Linked DNA regions of Ovis aries. The protein of the gene in region 3 interacts with the protein of the main gene of each other region in a pairwise test. Links are inferred from orthologs where the notes say so. Each region holds a gene or a part of one and is shown on either strand. Other genes may lie near its edges.

Region 1 (4,300 bases), on a different chromosome or scaffold from region 3:
TTGGGGAGGGGGAGGGTTGGGGGTGGGGGGCGTTGAAGGGGCCCTGTGCCCTCACTTAACAGAGGATGTAGAGCCTTAGGGGCAGGGCCTTATAGAAACAAGTTCTCATCTCCCCTTCCTGACACAAGAGCTGCCTCTTGGGTTCAGATGTCAAGCAAGGCCACCTCCTGACCCCAGTGCTATGAGCCACATTGGACCCCCCCCATATACACATCAAGACCGGATTCATCTGGGTCTAGCCCAAGTTCTGGCATATTGCGGGTGGAGCCACAGCTGCTTGTTGATAAAGGTGATTATTTAATTACCTTGCAGGACCCGAAAAGGAAGCGGGCTTCAGGCACAACCAAATAATCCTCCAAGAAAGGACTGGCCTCCGTCTGCTCAGCATCCCCAGACACGCTGAGCCATGGATATGGCTTCCACAGAGCTTGAAGCCCCAAACAGCCCTGCCTCAGCATCCCGGAAGCAGGGAGGATGGCCCCCACCTCAAAGAACAGGCGCTAAGAACAATAAATGAATGGGCTTCTTTTCCCCACCCCCATCCTAGACTCTGACTCACCCTCTGAGTCCCTGCTCAGCTCAAACTGGTAGGCTTGCCATATTTCCAGCCTCCTGTGAAACCCTCTATGGGGCTCCACTCCAGACTTGGCCACAGAGAGACCTGTGGGTGCTCTTCCTGGCTGTGTTCTCTTCTCCCGCCCCAGGAAGCTCCCAACGCAGCCAGCCTCTCCAAGGCATCCGAACTGAACCTCACCCAGGTCCAGCTGCTGTTTCCCAGGCATCAGGGGGTCTGGCGTGGTCAGGGCTGCCTGGGAAAACTGGTTCTTTCTTTCCAGCAGAGACATCAAACCAGCTCCTGTAGCAGGCACTGATGGCTCCGCTGAAATTCTGAATCCCAGCCTTTGCTCAACTACTCATTTGCTATGTGATCTTAGGTCACTTCCTCTCTCTGTCTGGGCCTCAGTTTTCCTAGGTGGTAAAAACTGCTAGACCAGAGGTTTTCAAACTTTTTTTGAAAGCCACAGAATCCTCTTTAAAAAAAAAAAAAATCAAATATTATGTGGAAGCCCAATATAGGACATCGTAAAACTTGGGCGGCTCTAGAACAGGAGTCAAGCTTGGCTCCTCTCCTCGGCTGTCTCCACACCTGGCCAGCGGCTGCCCAGCCCTCACTAGGCCACATCACCTGGGTTTCCCTCCCATTTCCCGAGGCAAAAAGAATTTCGACACCCTCCTGTGGAGGAGGGTCTGTATCCCAGGGGTAAGGGGTGAGCGGACGGCGGGAAGGAGGCACTGACCTGACAACCGACTGCTGTTAAGACCTGTCTGGCATGCAGGCCACCCCACGGGGGCAGCAGGGGCTTCGGCCAGGCCTTCGCGGGAGCCAGCCTCCCCGCGCCCGCAGACCCCGCACCTGAGTGTCTCTCCGCCCAGGTGTGCGGGCGGGGACGAGGCCCCGGCGGTGAATAATCCCCTCCGCCCCGAGCAGCCGCTCCGCCCCTCCCCCGGCGGGAGCGCAGGCCCTCCCCAGCCACGGAGTGGGCGAGCCGGCGGCGGCTGCCCCCAAGGACGGCGGGGAGGCGGGAGCGCCCGGCGCCTCTGGAATCCTCTCCCCATCCCGCCCCCGGCGGCGGCCCCCGCGGGCGCTTCCTGGGGTCAGAGGGCTCGCCCCCGCCCCAGGCGGAAGAGCAGCGGCACCCGCGGGGGCCCAGCGCGCTCAGGTGGGCTGCGGGATGCCCTTCCTGCTCCCCGCGGCTCCACCCTCCGCGCCGGCCCGCGGGCCAGTTCCGAAAGCCGGGTGGGCATCGGGGCCCGGGCTGCCTCCGCGCCAGCGACCCCGACCCTTCTCCGGCCTGGGCGCTCGGGCCGCGGAGCCCGCTCCTCCGGCAGAGCGGCCCAGTCTCGTCGGGCCCGGCTCCCGGCGCGCTGCCTCCCCCCGGGGCCCGGCGCCCTCGCTGCTTACCCTAGGGAGCCCGGGCGGGGAAACTTTTCCAGGCGAGCGCCGGGGCGGCTCAGGCGCCCCTCGGCCGAGCGGAGAGCCCGGCTCCGGGGGGCCTGGGCTCGGCGCGGTCCCCGCGCCCGGCAGCAGCGTCACCGCGCAGAGGCGGGGAGGCGCGGCGGCGCGGCCTCGGCCGGGCCGGCGACCAGGGCAGGGCTCGGCCTCGGCTCCGGCTCCGGCGCGGGCGGGGGCAGCGGCCGGGCCGCGGCGGCGCGGCTTGTTTACTCGGGCCGCTGTCAGCGGCTGCGGCGGCCCGGGCTCCTCCTCCTCCGCCGCCGCGCCCCTCCCCCTCGCGGCGCCACCTCCGCGCTCCCGGCCGCCGCCGCCGCCCCGCCGGCCCGGCCCGCCGCGCCGCCCATGCCGCCCGGGCCCGGGCCCGGGCCCGCGTTCCAAGCAGGAGCGCCGGGGCCCCGAGGCCTTCCGGGGCGTCTGCCGCCTCCGGCTCCAGCTCGGGGCAGAGGTAGGAAGTGGGGCCGGCGATCCCAGAGCCCTCGCAGCCGCTCGGCGGGTCCCCCAGACCCCACTGCCAGCGCCCCCGCCCCCCGGGCTCGGCTGTTAGCCCCGCGAGCTCCCCGGGCCGGCGGCCGGGGAGACTTGAACTCGGCATCCCGGGCAAGGGTTGGGAAGGACTCGAGGAGTCACTCTGAGCCCAGTCTCGGCCGGATTCTGGGGGAGTTGGGCTTCATCCCCACCCCCAGCCACTTCCCCACTCCTAAGCCACGAGTTTGGGCACGACCGGGTTAAGTGCCCTGGGATGACGCACCTGGAGTACCCCCCTTGAGGTCGGTCTTCACCGCGTCTGGGCAAACTTCCTCGCGGCCTACAGTTAGAAGACTCACTACTTTATTTGCATTTATATAGACAGGTGGATGAGCAGAACAGCTAGCCCATCCCCTTTTAATTTTTTTAAACTTTTTTTTTCCAACTCCAACTGCCTGCCAGGAACCAGGTCAATCACTTTATATTATCTCCTTCTTATGTACATTATTTAATCTTCTTAATCCTTTCAGGCTGACGTTATCAATCCCATTTTACAGATAAGAAAACTGAGGCACACAAGGTTTAGATAATTTGCTGAAGATCCCACAACTAACAGGCCTCAGATCCCAGAAGAGATCTGGAGCTTTGGCAGAGCCTGAATCTGAGCTCCTTGCAATATACCAACCAGCTCCTCTCTCTCCCTGGGTCCCTGCCCTAGAAAACGTCTGTGCCACTTGGCTGAGACCATCACTGCTTGAGCTGAGAAAGAAAAGAGGGGAAGTGTAGCCCAGAGCTCCACAGGCTGGGTTATTTTAAGGTCACAGAGCAGTCCCTGCCCATCCCTTCCTGCCCCCTTTGCGATAACCTGGCAGAACAGTGTTATCCTGTGATCTCTTCAGTACAGGTTTGGGGATGATGAGGAAAACGGATCAGAATGTTCTGAGCTCTTTCCCATGTGTTAACTTGCTCCATGATTACCATGGATTCTGCAAGGTGGATGTAGTTTTCCTTTAGGCAGCTTTCATGTATCACTATCTGCGCTTTACACAGGAGGAAACTGAGGCCCAGAGAAGTTAGTAGCATTTGTAAAGTAACTCACTAGGTGACAGTCAACCCCTAAACCTGAGTTCAAGTCGAAACGGCACTATTTTAAACTGTGCCAACCTTAGACAATGATTTGAGCAAACTCTGGGAGATAGTAGGGAGACAGAATAGGAAATGGCAACCTACTCCAGTATTCTTGCCTGGGAAACTCCATGGACAAAGGAGCCTGGTGGGCTATAGTCCACGGGTCGCAAACAGTCAGATGCGACTGAGCACGTAACACTTTTACTTAACCGGAGATAATGTAGTTCAGAGGAGCCTGGCATGCTGCGGTCCATGGGACTGAAAAGAGTTGGACTTGGCTTAGCAACTGAACAGCAGTGACAAGACCTTAATTCTCGGAGCCTCAATTTACCCCTCTGTAAAATGGAGATAATATTGAACCAGTGAGATAACATACGATTTGGGTACCTACATGAACAGCACAAAACCTAGAAACTCGGGGAAGAATGTGGGGCCCTGAAATTTGAGCGGGGAGGTGAGTCGGGTTGGCCCTCTTTCTGAATGGGAACTGCTCTCCCCACCATGATCCCCAGGGAGCAGGCTCCTTGGGGCCACCCTGGGGTAGCCCCAGCTACACTTGGGAAAACAATGCTTCTGCAGTCAGACCTAGGCAGGAAGTGAGTCACGGTTCTTCCTAAGTCTGTGAGCAAGAGAACCCTGTTGAGGGGAAACAGGGACTGGGCTGGCCCCGCCTAGCCTCTGAGTCCCTCTGTG
Region 2 (4,005 bases), on a different chromosome or scaffold from region 3:
AGTGATTGTTCCTTCTGGAACCTGCCAGGATGCTGGTTGGAATCCCAGCTCCACCACTTTTCAGCTGGGCCACACTGAGAAGCCCCTTTACTTCTCTGTGCCTGTTTTCCTCATGTGGGAAATGGGGCTCCAATGCCTACATTAGAATTGTTGAGAGGATTGAGCTAGGTACTGGATCAGAACAGGGCTTGGTACATAGTAAGTGCTATAAAGGTTCTAGCTACTATTTGTCTTTATTGAGCGTCTACTATGTGCCAATCTGGAAATGATAGTGACACCTTTAACTGACTTTGCTCCTGAATTTTTTCTGGCTTTTGAAATAATGAAAGAAAATCTTATTGGGGACCTTCTAAGTTCCCTGGTGGCTCAGATGGCCTGCAACATGGGAGACCCAGGTTCAATCCCTGGGTCGGGAAGATCCCCTGGAGAAGGAAATGGCAACCCACTCCAGTACTCCTGCCTGGAGGATCCTGGCAGGTTACAGTCCATGGGGTTGCAAAGAGCTGAACATGACTGAGTGACTAACACCAGGTGCCCTGCTCTGTAGAGGACATAAAAGCAAGCACATCTCTGACCCTTGCCCTCCAAAAGCTTGCAGTCTCACTTAGAAGACAAGGTCTGGACACAAAAACAAGAGCGTGAGCGCTTCTCTGTCCCCCGGGGACTATTTTCTGAGGGAAGGGCAGGGGCATGTGTCCCCAGAGGTCAGCCCAGCAGCAGGCACACGATAGGTGCCTTGGGAAGAACCCAGTTCGAGTCAGTTCAGGTCTCTTCCATACAGTCCACTCACATTTTCAGAGCAGCCTGCTCTGTGCTGGTCCATCAGGCAGACCAGTACCTGTACCCCAGCAGCTCGCACAGCCAGGTGACCAAGGTGGTGAATGGGGCGTCCTGGGTGTTTGAAGGAGGATGGGATTTCCACGGGTGGGTGAGGGGAAGGTGCAAGGAGAGCGCAGTCCAAGTAGAGGGCCCAGGAGGGTAGAGGTCCTGATGGCATGTGGGGGACAGAAAGTGTGGCTGAAGCCCAGGGTGGGGGTACCTTGGGAAGGGAGAAATATTAGGAGACGCAGCATAAATCTAAAGCCCACATTCCTTGCAGCCTTGGTCAGTGGCTCCCTTGTAAACTCAGGTAACCAGGGAGACAGCGAGAAGGCTGGCAAGGAGAAGCGTCCTGGTCGGTCAGCCAAGCAGCTGCTTCTCAAATATTTGCGCAGCACAGGTGGGGCAGGAGGGGTCACAGGAGCGTCTCAGGGTCCATGGCCAGGTGAAGGTTGCACTTCAAAGCCTGAAAGCCCTTAAGTGCTGATCCCCCTGGGGACAGATGGGAAAAGGAGGCCATTATTCCATGCCAGGTCCTTCATAAAGCAGGGTTGAAATAAATGAATGCCACTGTGTAGCAAAAAGATACTGGGGCTCTGCAAGCCGAGGGACCCTAATTTGAATTTGAACCCTGCCTCACGCCTCCCATCCGTGCGGGATCCCAGTTTGGCTGAACCACCCGACCTCACGTCACCTCAGCTGCCTCATCTGCTATTGCACCGAACAAGAGACCCCCTCGGAGCTGACCATTGGGTGTAGAAGAGGCCCCATGGTGCTGGGCACACAGTAGGGCCTTGATCCTTGATAGTTATTAATAGTAGCTACCTCTCTGGGTCTCTCCCCTCAGTGGTCAAGTGAGAGTCAAGATTGGACACATAGTAGGTGCTCAATAAAAGTATTTTTTTCTTCTTATTCCACAGAAGTAAAGCACACTGTCCTGGTCACTTGGTGAGCCTGTGGCTGAGAGCAGGTGCTCAGTAAATGTGAGATCCCTCCCACCTTATCCCTCAGAGGTAGAGACCCACCTGGGTCACCCTGAGTCAGGGACTGGCCTCTAGAGCTCTTTCCTCTATGGGTTTTGGGGGGCAGTGTATGTCTGTGGGGGTGGGCAGCACATGAGCTTATGCATTTAGCAAATGGCCATCAGTACAGATGGCTGGGACACTGGGAATGGATGACATCAACAATGGGGCAGAGGTCTGAGAGACAGAGCCTTAGGGAGCTGCTTTTGTGTCTCCATAGCAACCGCCCAGCATCAAGGAAGTCCCATGTGGGGGAGGGGCTGGCCCCAGGTCCCCCGGCCTTTACCTTCCCCTCCAGGGAGGGCTTTGCTTCCAGCAGCAGCATTGCCATTGGCATCCCCCTGCCCAAGAGAAGAGAATGTGGGGTGGGCTGAGGTGAGGGGAGGTCCAGCCTCAGGCAGCTAGACTGAAAAGTTTTTCAGAAGCCTCACAAGAGCCTTGGGTGGAAACACTGGCCCTCCCACTCGGCTGCCCCACACTCATGTCTGCTTTATGTTCCCACACTTTTGCCTGTACTGTGCCCTTTGCCTGGAAAGCCTTTTCCTCCACTGCCTATTTGGCAAACATTCATCCTTCAAACCAGCTCAGGGGGTACCCCCTTGGAGAAGCTCCCCAGGCGCCCCCCCTTAATGTTGATCATTCCCTCCCCTGGCCTCCTGTCCCCTCCCAGCTCTCACTGCCTGAACCATGTACCTGGTTCACCTGTTGCATCTCCCTACAACGTGGTAGAGAGCCTCCGGGGCGGTGGGGGACCTGTGTCTCCCTTCTTTACTGCCCACCCTTATCCCGGGGTTTGCCCCGCGCCCTGCCCCCCAGGTCAGGAGCCTTCTCGGGGCAGCTCTTACCTGGGGGGAGATCTTGTTCATGTCTCCGGCTCCCAGCTCCAGTCTCCGGCCCTGGCAGTGCAGAAAACTTGCCAGGTTCCCGGCCTGTCACCAAGGGCAGCTAGGAAAAGGAATGACAGGAGGCCTTTCCTGGCCGCACCCTCCCTGTGGGCAGGCTCCTCCCAGGCTGCCTCCTGAGAAGAGGAGAGGGCAGGAGGGCCCTGCTCCGGCCTGGCCTCTTCCCTCTCTGCAGGCTGACAGCCACGCTCCAACGCCAGAATTCTCTATGTGAGAGAAGAGTCTGAGGTTCAGAGAGCGAGAAACTGCCCTTGAGTCACATGGTGCAGGGTTGAGAGGGAAGCTGAACCCAGAAATTTTTCAGTGTGTGATTTTTCTCCACATCGATGATGAGATGGAGGATCTCAGGTCCCCCCCAGCTGCATGAAGATCCAGGCGGAAATACCCAGAATTAAGGTTCTAGTGGCTAAAAAGCAGGGATCGTGCTTTCATTGATATTTGTTCAATGAAACACATAATCTATGTGGAAAGAATATGTGTTTTCCACTAAAACGATAGGTCACTTAACCTGAGTTTCAGCTTTCTCATCTGTCTCTTGAAACTTCTTTTCCCCTCATCCTGAAGAAAGGCGGTGCCCCCGTAGATGGATCTCTTTGTCCTCCCCACTCAACACCCAACACACTCTCTAGAAATACACACACACATATATCTGGAATCACACTGCAGGGGCCCCCAACTTCACCAGATACTACCCAACCACTCTTCCAGGAGGCTGTACCAGTTTGCACCCCCATTAGCAGTGACAAGAGTGTCTGTGTCCTCAGTCTTGAAAGTGTCAGACTTTCTGACCTCCATCCGCCTCTGGTGGGTGTGAAATGCTATCTTACTGTGGTTTAGTTTGCGTTTCTCTAGTAACTCCTATTGCCACCACCAACTGCTAACATGTACTGAACGCTTGTCTTGTCACATGCTGCACTACAGGTGTTACATATGTTAACCCACTTAGTCCTCCTGACCACAAATGATGGAGACTATTATCATCTCCATTTCACAGATGAGGAAATTGAGGCACAGAAACATTGTTACTTGCCCAAGGTTCACAGTTGAAAGGAGGCATAGCTGCGTTATAGATGTGGGTGGCTGAGAAGTTCACACATTACCTCTACCTATCTCCTCACTTCTCAAAAGTGTGGTCCTCGGACCAGCAGGACCTCATCATGTGTGAGAGACGGAATCCCATCCAGGCCCACAAAGCCAGAACCTGCATTTTAACAAGAGCTTTAGGAGGCTCAAATGCATATTCAGTTTGAAAAGCCCTGCCC
Region 3 (2,381 bases):
CTGGAAGAGCCCCTGGCCCGCCTAGGACCTACTCTTAAGAGAACAGTGGGAGAGCAAGCCGGCCTGTGCACACAGCTCACCCTCTCCCCACTGCCCGTCGTGTGGAGCACATGCTTCCACCCCAGGGCCTTTGCACATGCTGTTTCTGCAGCCTGGAGCACGTCTCCCCCATTCCTCACGAGGTTCGTTCTGCTCGATTGAGTTTCTGCAGCCTTACCTCTTCAGCATAGCAGTCCCCACCTTGATCATTCAGTCATTTCATCTCTCCTCCAACCAGCAGGGGAGCTGCAGGCAGGGATTCCTACCACCGGTCATCTGTGGCAGGCAGTGTAGCATAGCAGCCAAGGACACACAGACCCTGAGGCAAGACTTCCTGGGCTCCAGTTCTGGCTTTGTAGACCACTAGCCATGTGAGTTTGCACAAAGGAGTCAGCCCCTCTATGCCCTCCATTTCCCCCATCTGTAAAATAGGCATGGGACTTCCGTGGCAGTCCAGTGGTTAAACTCCGCACTTCAACTAGGGCCTCCCAGGTGGCTCAGTGGGGAAAAAATAAAATAAAATCTGCCTGCCAGTGCAGGAGATGCAAGAGATGCAGGTTCGATCCCTGGGTCGGGAAAATTCCCTGTAGGAGGACACAGCAACCTGCTCCAGTATTCTTGCCTGGTGAATCCCATGGACAGAGGAACCTGGTGGGCCACAGTCCATGGGATCACAGAGAGTCAGACACGACTGAGCTTCCACTGCAGGAGGTGCAGGTTCTATCTCTGGTCGGGGAACTAAGATCCTGCAAGCCTCGTGATGTGGCAACAAAACAAAACAAAACCAGGGGCAGAAATGCCCTGCACCTACCCAGGCCTGTCCTGTCGTCATCTCAGTAAGTATCTGAAGGAAAGAAAGGATTGCAGGAGGCAAGGCAGGAGTAGGGTCCTGCAGGAACAGTGATGAAGATGGGTGTCTGCAGAGAGTGCCCTGATGCCCCATCCCCTGGCATAGGCTCGTAGCAGGGCGGTGTGTGGTGGTCCCTCTCACCGGCTTCCCCTCCCTCCTTCCCCGCAGTGGCTGAAGGACCCTGGGCCTCGGACAGAGAAGCGGACGCTGTGCTGTGACGTGGTGTGCTTCCTGTTCATCACGCCACTGGCCGCTATCTCAGGCTGGCTGTGCCTGCGAGGCGCCCAGGACCACCTCCGGCTCCACAGCCATCTGGAGGCCTTGGGACTGATCGCCCTCACCATCGCCTTGTTCACCATCTATGTCCTCTGGACACTGGTGAGTGGCTTCCAGCCAGACAGCAGGCATCTGGGAGCAGACAGGTCAGGGGCTTGGGCAGCAACTTGGATGGAGCTGGGGTGGAGGATGGGGCGGCACTCTGCCTGCCTGGGCTTGTGGCTGGCACGTGGGGTGGAAGCAACTCCCAGCATCTCATGGAGCTCCAGATTCCAGGCCGGTTTGAGGTCCCAGGAGCCAAGCGTGAGGCTTCTGCCCGAGGAATGCAAGATCATGGGATCACTTCAGCTGAGTGCAGGCTGCGCTAGCCACGAGTCCCATTAAGACCTGGTTGTCTGGGTTTTGGGGGCAAGGGGAAGGGAGAAGAGGCTGAGAGCCACTGGAAAGACTGTGGAAGAAAAGGCAGGAGAATGAGAGAGACAGAGAGGACGATCAAGAGACTGAGCGAGACTTCCCTGGCAGTCCAATGGTTAAGGCTGCCAGTGCAGGGGACTTGGTTTGATCCCTGGTCAGGGAACTAAGGTCCCACAGGCCATGTGGTGCAGCCAAAAAATAAAAAACAAAGAGACTGAGAGAAAAGGTGACTGGGGTTGGGAGAGAGTGAGTGTGGTGAGGGTGTTGTCCCCGGGTTCTGGCAGGCATGAGAAGGGGGGAAGGTCCCACAGATAGAACCACAGCTATGGGGGTGCCCCCTCCTCAAGAATTATTTGCAGTGCACCCACCAAGCAGATTTCTTAATACAAGTAGGATGCATCATAGGTCCTGCTTTGCAGTCTGCTTGTTTTCACTTTGCTAATGTCCTTAAAAAAAAGAGAGGCAGTCACCCAACAGTCCTTCATTGTGTGGGTGTGCTATATTTATTTAACTAATCTCTTTTGATGGACATAGGGATTATTCCAATTTTTTTTCCTTCTCCTTTATTTGCTGTTATAAACAGTGCTTTGGGTGCCACCCGTGCAAATGTTTCTTGGAACTTCCTTGGTCAAAGAGTAGGAACCACTGACATTTACTGGGAAAAAAAAATTTTTTTTAACAGATTTGATTCACTAGAGCAGTTCAAGTGGAGAAGGCAATGGCACCCTACTCCAGTACTCTTGCCTGGAAAATCCCATGGATGGAGGAGCCTGCTGGGCTACAGTCCATGGGGTCGCACAGA
Region 4 (4,296 bases), on a different chromosome or scaffold from region 3:
GAATGCAGGCAGGGCCTTTGTAAGCTCTGTTCTAGAGAGCTTGTTCCTAGCACTGGACAGGTGGGACCAGGGAGGGGGTTAGGCAACCCAGATCAGCCGCCCTCTCTAAGGGAGTTGGCCCCTCACTTTCTTCTCCCTCACTTTTTCCTTCCTCCCTTCCTCTCCTCCCCCTCCCCCTGTCCTCCTCTCCCTCCCACCTGGCCCCAATTGTGCTTGGTTTCTTTACAAATAGCCTCCTCTTCCTCAGGAGCTCTGAGGCTATTCCCAAGAGCTGAGGGTTCACCTTCGGTGGCTGTATGAGTCAGAGTTCTCCAGAGAAATGGAACCAATAGGAGGTATGTATGTGTATGTATATGTATTGTTGCACTCACTCACTGAGTCATATCTGACTCTTTGCAACCCCATGGACTGTAGCCCACCAGGCTCCTCTGGCCATGGGATTTCCCAGACAAGAATACTGGAGTGGGTTGCCATTCCATTCTCCAAGGGATCTTCTCAACCCAGGGATCAAATCTGGGTTTCCTGAACTGGCAGGTGGATTTTTTTTTACCACTGACTCACTATGCATATATGTGTGTGTAAAGAAAATTTTATTTAAAGAATTTGGCTCATGCCATCATAGAGCTAGCAAGGCCAAAATTTGCAGGACAAGTCAGCAGGTTGGAATGTTAGGGAGGGGTTGAGGTGTAGTCTTGAGCAGAATTTCTTCTCTGGGAAACCTCAGTCTTTGTTCTTAAGGCCTACAGCTGATTGAATGAGGCCCATTCACAGTATCAAGGATACACAATGTCCTTTACTTAAAGTCCACTGATTATAGACATCAACAGCTACAAAAAGTGCCTTGATAGAAACATCTAGACCAGCACGTGATGGAATAACTGGAGACCTTAGGCTAGCCACATGGACCATAAACATGACCACTGAGGTCTATTCAGTAGGGAAGCTGAGGGAAAATTTGACTTAGAATAGGGGGTGCAGGGCTGGGGACACTGGAGGCTCCAGTAAGCAGGCCCCTCTTCTGCACATCTCTCCTTTGGTTTTCATGGTTCCTGTCCAGGATGATCCAGGGTGTCAAAAGTCATGTCCCTTGCCTGGGAATTCTGGATGGGGTAAGGCAGGATGTGCTCTGTAGAGGATGCTTTCTGAAGGGGGCTATGGCCTGGACTGTTAACCAAAGCTGGCCTTGCAGAAACCACGGTGGGATCTAAACCTGCTTTGGCCACTGACCAACTCTGGAGTCCTGTGCCAGCCCCTCCCTCTATCTAGAAATGAGGTCAAATCGGATGAGCTGAGAGCCAGGGCAGCTTTCCCAGGCAAAGATTCAGAGTCTATCGCTTCTCCTAAGTTGCTTACAGAGTAGCAGAGAAGAAGACCTTGAACCCAGCCAGCAAGATACAGCAGGAACAGGAGGTGCTGGGTCTAATGCTTGAACTCAAAGTGGGAGTCTGGCTCCACCCCTGTGTCCAGATATATCTTCCGCAGAGAGCTGATTTCCCAAGCCTCCTCCGAGCCTTGGACCCTGTGCCTTCTTGGCCATTGCTTACAATTGGTGGTGATGGCAGGAGGAGCAGTCCCTAACCTCAAGGAAAAGATGCAAGTGCCAAAGGATGAAGACCTGCTTCTTGGAAGCTTTAGGGATAACCAAGAGCGCTCAGTGGCAGCAGGTGAGGATCCCCCGTAATGTCCCTTCCCTTGGGTATCTACACCTGTGCATGCATGTTAGAAAATGCGCAGGTTTGGCTTGGCAGAAGCATGAATGTGTGTTTGCATGTATTTGTGGGTACCTGTGTGTGAGGTAATGGGATTGATAAAAGTGAGCCTTTTGTAGCGTGTGACGGGGAAGGTTGGATGAACACCCCTCCCATTGCAAGCCACCAGTGGATCTTAATGCAAAACACTCAGTGGGTTCAATTTATAAGATCATTCAAAGCAATTCTCTCTCCTAACCTTCCAGTACCTTCTTCTGCCCTTTAGAGTAAAGCTCCTTTCCATGATCTACAAGATCCACATAAGGTCACCTCCTCAATATACTTCCTGCTGTGGCATGCTGACTCAGTCCACAGTGCCTTTAAGCCTGTCCTGTAACATCCCAAGACTCTTTCTTCTTCACAGCCTTTTCACTATGTGTTCCCTCTTTCCTCAGATTTTCTATGGCTGGACTCTTTCTCTTTCAGGTCTCTGCCTCAGTGTTGTCTCTGACTTTTCTAGAAGTATCCCCTTCCTTCTGTCTTGTTATCCTGTTTTTATTGTTTTGGGAGCATGCATCTCTTGATTTGCACTGATGGATTATTTCCTATAACCCCCACTCTCGTTACCACTTTCTCTGTACACACACAAACAATCAATTTTTTATTGCTGTGATCTTATTTCTTGGCCATTGCTTGCTCTTTAAGAACCTAGCCCAGAGCTTGACACTCAGTAAACACTTACTATATTTTGAGTACATGAAGAAATTGAGACCTGAGATTAGCCAGTAGATGCCAGAGAATGGGTGTTGAGTGCTTCCTAAGATGTTGGGGGACCCTATCCTATTTTTTGGTGTGTTCTGTGCCCATGAAACCTTGGGATAGCCTCTATGGGTATTCCTTGGGCCTCTGTTCTTCTCCCTAGAAATGAAGGAGCATATATCTCGGTTGCTGGGTGCTTCTCAGCGGCGACAGAAGGTGGATCCAAAGGCTGTTGGCTCTGCTGCGGTTTGGAATATGGCTGCAAACCAGTCCAAGAAGGTGGTACTGTATGGCATTTGGTGGCTAGCTTGAGTTTGGGGGAGTTTGCTACAGTTGTAGCAGCTCTGGTATGGAGATGGTAGGTCAAGCAGGGCAGATGTTGACTTTGGGGGAAGGACAAAGCTCCTGTGTTCTGGGCAGGCAAATGAGGGCAACAAGGTCTGGCAAGAGATCATGGCCATTCTTTGTTAGTTCAACCTTGAGGGTCCAGAATGTCTGAAACACACATTGCTTGTGGAGTACATATCTACTTTCTTTTATTAATAAATTAGTAAATATATCTATATTTGAATCTCTATATGTATATATGTATATATCTATATGTTATGTCTACTCTCTATATATATTTCTATATAGAAATATGCAAAAGTATAAAAATCATTATATATATATATATATATATATATATATATATATATATATATAGTTGCTGTTTAGTCTCTAAGTTATGTCTGACTTTTTGAATCCCCATGGACTGCAGCATGCCAGGCTTCCCTCTCCTCCACTATCTCCCAGAATTTGCTCTAATAAATGTCAATTGAGTCAGTGATGCTATCTAACCATCTAATCCTCTGCTGCCCCCTTCTCCTTTTCCGTTTAATCTTTCCCAACATCAGGGTCTTTTCCAGTGAGTTGGCTCTTTGCATCAGATGGCCAAAGTACTGTAGCTTCAGCAACCATCCTTCCAATGAATATACAGGGTTGTATATATATCTCTAAGCATATATAAATATAGATATACATGTATCTATATCTATCTTAGGGCTGGGACTAGGGTAAGGCAAGTGAAATGCCTATGCTCTCTGGCTACTAGGAAATCCAGTCAATTGAATCTGAGCATTTTGTAGCCAATCCTTTAAGTTACATTCTATATGAGTGAGGGAATGTTCTAGAAAAAATGGTGGCTATACTGTTGCAAAAGATACTGAGAAAAGGCAGTCATTTTGGAGAAGAGAAAGTCCTGACTCTTCTTGGGAATCACATGAATCCCATCATCCTTCTGTAGCCAATTCTTTTAACTACATTCATCTTGGGTGACAGAAAATTTTAGAAACATAGTTGTTAAACCACTGCACGTTTACTGGGAAAGGGCAACACCTTTGGAGAGGAGGGAGACCTGAGTGTTCCAGGCAATCATGTGAGTCTCATGTTTTGTAGCCCATCTGATAAGTAAGCTACTTTTGCTGCAGATGCTGGCAATTTTAGAAACATGGTTGTTTTACTGTTGCAAAGGTTATAGGAGGTAGAGGGAAGGCAAATTGACTGGAGAGGCAGGAAGACCTGATGTTCTAGAAAATCAGCCGAGTTACATTTTGTTCCTCTGTAATGAATTTTTAAAATTATACTAACCATATGAGGGAATGTTGTAGAGAAAATGGTGGCCATGTTGTTGCATTCAGTTCAGTTCAGTTCAGTCGCTCAGTCGTGTCCGACTCTTTGTGACCCCATGAACCACAGCACGCCAGGCCTCCCTGTCCATCACCAACTCCTGAAGGTTACCCAAACTCATGTCCATTGAGTCAGTGATGCCATCCAACCATCCCATCCTCTATTGTCCCCTTCTCCTCCT

Evidence for each region.
Region 1: the proteins of MARCHF2 (region 3) and FURIN interact in a protein complementation assay, tested with the Homo sapiens proteins (2 studies listed by BioGRID). The link is inferred for Ovis aries from reciprocal best matches to the Homo sapiens genes MARCHF2 and FURIN.
Region 2: the proteins of MARCHF2 (region 3) and LDLRAD1 interact in binary tests that used the Homo sapiens proteins (3 or more experiments, as listed by UniProt). The two-hybrid records come from large-scale screens. The link is inferred for Ovis aries from reciprocal best matches to the Homo sapiens genes MARCHF2 and LDLRAD1.
Region 4: the proteins of MARCHF2 (region 3) and FATE1 interact in binary tests that used the Homo sapiens proteins (3 or more experiments, as listed by UniProt). The two-hybrid records come from large-scale screens. The link is inferred for Ovis aries from reciprocal best matches to the Homo sapiens genes MARCHF2 and FATE1.

The regions. Positions count from the first base shown.
Region 1 is NC_056071.1:21,104,155-21,108,454, forward strand, and holds the start of FURIN (furin), read right to left. Parts: upstream 2,801-4,300; 5' UTR 2,763-2,800; intron 2,223-2,762; exon of another isoform or gene 1,964-2,222; intron 1,469-1,963; exon of another isoform or gene 1,299-1,468; intron 1-1,298. UniProt on the Homo sapiens protein: Ubiquitous endoprotease within constitutive secretory pathways capable of cleavage at the RX(K/R)R consensus motif. Mediates processing of TGFB1, an essential step in TGF-beta-1 activation.
Region 2 is NC_056054.1:28,543,904-28,547,908, forward strand, and holds the start of LDLRAD1 (low-density lipoprotein receptor class A domain-containing protein 1), read right to left. Parts: upstream 2,801-4,005; 5' UTR 2,708-2,800; coding exon 2,687-2,707; intron 2,183-2,686; coding exon 2,128-2,182; intron 1,312-2,127; exon of another isoform or gene 1-1,311.
Region 3 is NC_056058.1:14,792,324-14,794,704, forward strand, and holds part of MARCHF2 (E3 ubiquitin-protein ligase MARCHF2), read left to right. Parts: intron 1-1,057; coding exon 1,058-1,267; intron 1,268-2,381. UniProt on the Homo sapiens protein: E3 ubiquitin-protein ligase that may mediate ubiquitination of TFRC and CD86, and promote their subsequent endocytosis and sorting to lysosomes via multivesicular bodies.
Region 4 is NC_056080.1:84,015,895-84,020,190, reverse strand, and holds the start of FATE1 (fetal and adult testis-expressed transcript protein), read left to right. Parts: upstream 1-1,496; 5' UTR 1,497-1,555; coding exon 1,556-1,664; intron 1,665-2,610; coding exon 2,611-2,726; intron 2,727-4,296. UniProt on the Homo sapiens protein: Involved in the regulation of endoplasmic reticulum (ER)-mitochondria coupling. Negatively regulates the ER-mitochondria distance and Ca(2+) transfer from ER to mitochondria possibly implicating it in the regulation of apoptosis.